2 linked regions of the Sus scrofa genome follow. The protein of the gene in region 2 binds, or shares a complex with, the protein of the main gene of each other region. Links are inferred from orthologs where the notes say so. Each region holds a gene or a part of one and is shown on either strand. Other genes may lie near its edges.

Region 1 (2,941 bases), on a different chromosome or scaffold from region 2:
TTACCAAGGTGAATCTGTATGGCCATATCATAATCATCCTAAATCCATAGTTTACCTTAGGGTTCATTCTTGATATTGTGTATTCTGTGGGTTTGGACAAATGTATAGAATGGACAAATAACATGTATCGAGCATTGTAATATCATATAGAATATTTTCACTGGCCTGAAAGCCCCCTGTGCTCTGCCTATTCATCTCTCCCACCTCCCTGCCTGCCTCCTGTACTGCCTAGCCCTCAAAACCACTGATCTTTTTATTTTCTCCATAGTTTTGCTTTTTCTAGAATGTCATATAGTTGGAATTATAGAGTATGTAGCATTTCCAGATTATAGAGTATGTAGCATCTCCATAGTTTTGCTTTTTCTAGATTGTCATATAGTTGGAATTACAGAGTATGTAGCATTTCTATTACTTAATAATGTGTATTTAAGGTTCCTCCCTGGCTTGATAGCTCATTTCCTTTTAGCTCTGAATAGTATGAATGTACCATAGTTTATCCATTTACCAACCGATGGACATCTTGGTTGCTTCCAAGTTTTGGCAGTTACAAATAAAGCATCCATGCACAGGTTTTTGTATGCACCTAAGTTTTCAACTCATTTAGGGAAATAGCAAGGAGCACGATTGTTGGGTTGTGTGGTGAGAGTATGTTTAGTTTCATTATAAGAAACTGTCTTCCAAATTGGATGTATCATTTTGCATCCCCACCAGCAGTGAATGAGAGTTCCTGTTGTTCCACATCATTGCCAGCATTTGGTGGTATAGGAAAAAACCATAAAAAAATTTTCCTAATAATTACTAAAAATGTGCAATCTAATAGAATATGCTGGGACCGAACACACTGCTTTGGTACTTGCCATTAAGACTCTCTGCCTTGAACACTGTAGGGACATCCTGTTTGGACTTATCTGTTATTTCTCAGTGTTCCGCATGTAGACCTGCAGTGACAGTTGTTGGCTCTGAGGGTTAACTAGAAGGTCATTCTCGGTTGTCTATCTTTGAAGTTCTCATTCTCAGTTTAATTTACCATCTGGAGAAATGCACTGAGCTTGTTCTCACATGAAAATGTTACCATCACAGTTTGAGCTCTAATCCTCTTTTCTTTGTATAATTGACTTAACAGGTATGTCAAGGATGCCACAATGCCATTGATCCAGAAGTACAGCGGGTGACCTATAACAACTTCAGTTGGCACGCGTCCACAGAATGCTTTCTGTGCTCTTGCTGCAGCAAGTGTCTCATTGGGCAGAAGTTCATGCCAGTAGAAGGGATGGTGTTCTGTTCAGTGGAGTGTAAGAAGATGATGTCTTAAGAGGAGAGCACCAAACAGTATTGAGCCATAGCTCTCCAGAGGGGTCTGCATTTCTACTGTAAAATGCAATTTGGAAAAATAAACAGAAAAAAAGAAACTCTAAAGGAAACCAGGAGATTTTGTTTAGTATCTTTCTTTGCTGTTTTACCAATTTTTTTTCTCATCACAATTTTTAAAACCTGCCTTAAGCATTTGATTTTTAAAATGGTAAAATATTTTACCTTTTCTTAGCTTTCTAGATGTAAAACCTTCTGAGTTGGAAGTTTGGGTTTGATCAGTCTTCATATTTCTACCCTCTTTGTGCCAACACAGTATATATGAAACATTTAAAAGCCAGTATTTGAATGGAAAGATAAGCATTTCATGTTCTGTATTCCTTTTCCGTTCTTCTATAAAAATGAAAAGGAAATTAAACTTGCCCTAATGTCAAGGCCTTACATTTATCACTTCATCTTATTCACTCAATTTTGTAGCATGATACATGGTGAATTCCTGTGACAGAGAAGATAGAAATGCAGCAAGTATGAAGAGCTTTTATCATTTTAATACCTATGCATTTGCTATTTCCTAACATAGGCAGAGGCGGCTTTATTGCATATCTCTATTTTTTTAATTTGCTCTACCTCTCAGTATTCTCTTCTAAGCTGGTGACCTCTATCTGTGGCCTTGAATATTTTATTGTCACTTGTGGCATCCACATTTTTTACTTTTATAAGTGATTTTTGGCTTGGACATAAAATAAGCCACTCATTTATATTGTCTTCAATCCAAAGAACAGCACACTTTTTGTATCCAGGAAGCTATATAATTTGTACTATTTTCACTAACCTGCTGTGATTTGGATGGACTTTTTGCTTGATTTTCATTCTTTTCTAATAGATACTGTCCTCTGACACCTATTCATGGGTATATATCAAATGTCTTTTTTGCCTGTATACTTCCATCCTTATGTATTTCTAATGTTTATTTTTCCCTATATATTTACATACATAGCTATGCAGTATGAAAATTAAATGGAGTGAATGATATGATATTATTATTCAAAATAAAATCTCTTTCACTTTAATGATTGTACCTCTATTCTTCATATCCCTTTCATTTGAGAGCAAAAAAAAAAAAAAAAAAAAAAAAAAATCCTTTTGCAATTAAGCACTTGTTACAGCAGGGGGCAGTGTTTCCAAAGATAAAAAATAGGCCTCCAAAATAAAGACAATTTCTAACGAGAAAGGACAGAAACTAGGCTTTTCATTATGGTGAAGGTATGTTTTATGAAACTTTATAATAAACTATTTAAATTCTTGGTTTTCAAGTTATGCAGGAGTTTTTTCTTTGCAAAAGAAGGAAAGTATCATTTTAATTGAAGTTTGGGAAAGCTATATTCTCTTGAGGTGAATCTAACAAGTATTACTCTTACACTCAAATTGCAGCTCTATTTGATTTTCTAAGAATTTTTTCATGGCAATATATTGAGGAAAGGAAGTGAACATGGAAGAGTAGTAGTTTCATTCTTCCTAATATTAGTAGGTCATGAGATTTTTTTTTTCCCCTCAGTCTGAACTATTTATATCATAGTGGGAGTAGCTCTTTTCTGTGACACATACCCAGAATAATTTGATTTTGATTTTTTCT
Region 2 (3,542 bases):
ATTATCTGTCTTTCAAAATTCAAGGCCATCTCCTCCTCTCCCCATTGAACTAAGAAACTGCCCCCATCAGATAGTCACAAGGCTCATGAGACTGGACTTGGCCATTTTCTTCTCTCACATCCCAAAAGGAACAAAGAACATCCCAGTAACTTCCTTAAAAAAGAAAGCCCACCATTGCAGTGACTGCCTCTTTTATTGAGAGCATGGTGCTATATAACCTAAGGCAGGGTTCTGGGTGCCCTGAGAGCATCAGGTGTCAGCACCAACATGCCTGGCTTCAGAGATGACATGTGAGACAGCAGCCAAGCAGCCTCAGAGACATGTGTCAGGTCCCATCATGATGTGTCCATAGGAAACCCCTGGGAAGAAGTTGTAGTTAGCAGAGCTTGACACTGCTGGCTGGATATCCTTGGGGGAGCTATGCACCCAGGACCCCTGATGTTCTCATCAGTGGGACTATAGGGTCTAATTTCATTGCCAACCCAATGACCTGGACGAAGGAGGAGTATGTGTGCAAATGAGTGTCTGCAGTAATTCCTCTGAAGGTCGCCCTAAGAAACAAGCAGGACAAAATTGCTGGGCAGAGTCACCACAGCCGCAATTGGTCCTGCTGAAATCTAAATCATATAGTGTCAACTCTCTGCTCAAAATTCTCCAGTGCTTTCAACCTCACAGAGAGTCAGAGCCAAAGTCCTAGCAATGGCCTGTGAGGTCTGAGCCGCTCACCCTCCCCCAGCCCTCCTCCCATGTCACATTTCTGGGCTCTCTCCACAGTAGCCACACTGGTCGTCTTGGGATCCTCTGACTCTGAGATCAGCAAACTTTTTCTATAAAGGGCCAGATGGTCAATATTCATCATTAGCTTTACAGGCCATAGAGTATTTATTGCAATGACTCAACTCTGAGGTTGTAGCACAAAAGCAGCCATTGACAATATGTAAATGAGTGAGCATAGCTGTGATCCAATATAACTTTATTATAAAAACAGTCCGCAGGTCTGATTTTGTAGACCCCTGCTCTAAACCCCTGTCATCTGCACCTGCCACTCCCCAAGACACACGTGGAGCCCTCCCTGACCCCTTCAGGTCTTCACTCAAGTGTCACTGTCTCAGGGAGCCCTGCCCAAGCACATGAACACAGCCACCCTGCCCTGCTCCCTTCCCTGCTTTGCTTTTCCATTTTGCTCTTAACACTTTCCAACATATATTTATTTTGGTTATTGCCTGTCTCTCCCCAACCCCCACTGACTAGAACGTCGGTTCTAAAGGGCAGAGATTTTTGCCTTTTTTTTTTTTTAACTGCTGCCTGCCTTGTACACAGCACTCAAAAAATATTAACTGATTGGATAAACAGGGTTTATTACAAAATTTAGAAAAGAGTAAGTCACCTCAAAAACACTATCCCAAATCTACCCTAACACAGGACAAACTTCCCAGTATCTGGGAAGCCCTGGGTCACCGGATTATGTCATAATCAGTGATGTCATCATTGGGGAAATTCTCAAGTTGCCCTCTCATTTAAGTCTTTCAGGCCTTGAAGCCTGTGGGATTGAGGAACTTTCTGAGAACAAGATGGCTCTTGAGAGCATGTGGGCTCCACAGGCGGCAATCATAGGGGATGGGCCTTCCAAGGGAGGGGGTGAACAGGCCTCCCTGCAGACCCAGGGCCTCCAGACGGCCTCCCTGAGGGAAGGCCCAGCGAAGCGGGCAGTGTGGGTTCGCCGCAACCATTCGGAGACAGAAGAACCTACTAAATCGCCAGCAGTCAAGAAGCCCAAGCTGGAGGTGACCAAAGCAGTAGTCGTGGACCTTGGCACGGGCTACTGTAAATGCGGCTTTGCCGGGCTGCCAAAGCCCACCCATAGGATCTCTTCGACGGTGGGCAAGCCCTACATGGAGACCGCCAAAACTGGGGACAATCGCAAGGAGACATTTGTGGGGCACGAGCTCATCAACCCAGAGGTTCGTCTCAAGCTAATGAATCCTCTGAGACATGGCATCATCGTGGACTGGGATACGGTGCAGGATATCTGGGAATATCTCTTCCACCAAGAGATGAAGATCGCCCCTGAAGAGCACGCAGTCTTGGTTTCGGACCCACCCCTGAGCCCACACACCAACAGAGAGAAGTACGCGGAGATGCTGTTTGAGACCTTCAAAACTCCCGCGATGCACATCGCCTACCAGTCCCGCCTGTCCATGTATTCCTACGGGAGGACCTCCGGCCTGGTTGTGGAGGTGGGCCATGGTGTGTCCTACGTCGTCCCCATCTATGAGGGCTATCCTTTGCCCAGTATCACTGGACGACTGGACTACGCGGGTTCTGACCTGACCACTTACTTGATGAGCCTGATGAACAGTTCGGGGAAACACTTCACCGAGGACCAGCTGTGCACTGTGGAGGACATCAAGAAGAAATGCTGCTTTGTGGCCCTGGACCCCATTGAAGAGAAGAAAGTCCCAGCCAACGAGCACACGATCCAGTACACCCTGCCAGATGGGCAGCAGATATACCTGTGCCAGGAAAGGTTCCTCTGCTCAGAGATGTTCTTCAAGCCTTCTCTGATCAAGTCCATGCAGCTGGGCCTCCACACCCAGACGGTGTCCTGCCTTAACAAGTGTGACGTCGCCCTCAAACGAGACCTCATGGGGAACATCCTGCTCTGCGGGGGGAGCACCATGCTCAGCGGTTTCCCTAACCGTCTGCAGAAGGAGCTGAGCAGCATGTGTCCCAATGATACCCCCCAGGTAAACGTGTTGCCCGAAAGAGATACTGCTGTGTGGACGGGGGGCTCCATCCTGGCCTCGCTTCAGGGCTTCCAGCCACTGTGGGTCCACCGTTTTGAGTATGAGGAACATGGGCCTTTCTTCCTCTACAGAAGGTGCTTCTAAGTACTGCTGAAGCGTGGTTGCTCTGGTTGCCATGCATCAGCTTTGCTGGGTGACCACCCATCCCATACACAGGGAAATGAGCCAGCATGTTCACTCCTGCAGTATTAAACAGTCCTCATATTTCCCTCCACCATTGTGTGTTTCTCTATTTTCTGATGCAAGGAGATCGTCATACCTGTAGCATCTACCTTAAAATATACATTTGCCAAAACAGAAGCAGGGGTTGGGGTGAGGGGAAGGGAGCAAGGGGGGTGATTATGAACCAAAAAAACATGCATTCTATATTGATCGCTTAAGTATTTGGGGGACAAACTACCTCTGAAATTATTCTGTCCCTTTTTTTATGCATTCCCCACTATAGTACTGTTAAACTCTGCTTGCAAGGGGGAGTTATGATAAAGATAGATTAGATAGATGGAGTTCCCATCGTGGCTCAGTGGGTTAAGGATCTGACATAGTCTCCATGACAATGTAGGCTAAATCCCTGGTCTTGCTCAGTGGGTTAAGGATCTGGCGTTACCGTGAGCTGTGGCATAGGTCGTGGATTGCGCTTGGATCCCACGTTGCTGTGGCTGTGGTGTAGGCTGGCAGCTGCAGCTGATTTGACCTCTAGCCTAGGAACTTCTGTATGCCACAGGTGCAGCCCTAAAA

The links.
Region 1: the proteins of ACTL7A (region 2) and TES are in contact, whole or in part, in a crystal structure (PDB 2XQN), measured with the Homo sapiens proteins. The link is inferred for Sus scrofa from reciprocal best matches to the Homo sapiens genes ACTL7A and TES. Residues at the interface, in NP_006678.1 of Homo sapiens: Leu28, Gln29, Thr30, Ala31, Ser32, Leu33, Arg34, Asp35, Gly36, Pro37, Ala38, Lys39, Arg40, Ala41, Val42, Trp43, Val44, Arg45, His46; in NP_056456.1 of Homo sapiens: Asn311, Glu312, Tyr313, Thr314, Gln315, Ala316, Glu317, Leu323, Phe326, Leu335, Ala336, Gly337, Glu338, Ile339, Tyr340, Val341, Tyr353, Pro370, Glu371, Val372, Gln373, Arg374, Val375, Thr376, Tyr377, Ala384, Phe389, Leu398, Ile399, Gly400.

The regions. Positions count from the first base shown.
Region 1 is NC_010460.4:29,895,315-29,898,255, reverse strand, and holds the end of TES (testin), read left to right. Parts: intron 1-1,123; coding exon 1,124-1,312; 3' UTR 1,313-2,378; downstream 2,379-2,941. UniProt on the Homo sapiens protein: Scaffold protein that may play a role in cell adhesion, cell spreading and in the reorganization of the actin cytoskeleton. Plays a role in the regulation of cell proliferation. May act as a tumor suppressor. Inhibits tumor cell growth.
Region 2 is NC_010443.5:249,881,740-249,885,281, forward strand, and holds ACTL7A (actin-like protein 7A), read left to right. Parts: upstream 1-1,507; 5' UTR 1,508-1,571; coding exon 1,572-2,891; 3' UTR 2,892-3,021; downstream 3,022-3,542. UniProt on the Homo sapiens protein: Essential for normal spermatogenesis and male fertility. Required for normal sperm head morphology, acroplaxome formation, acrosome attachment, and acrosome granule stability.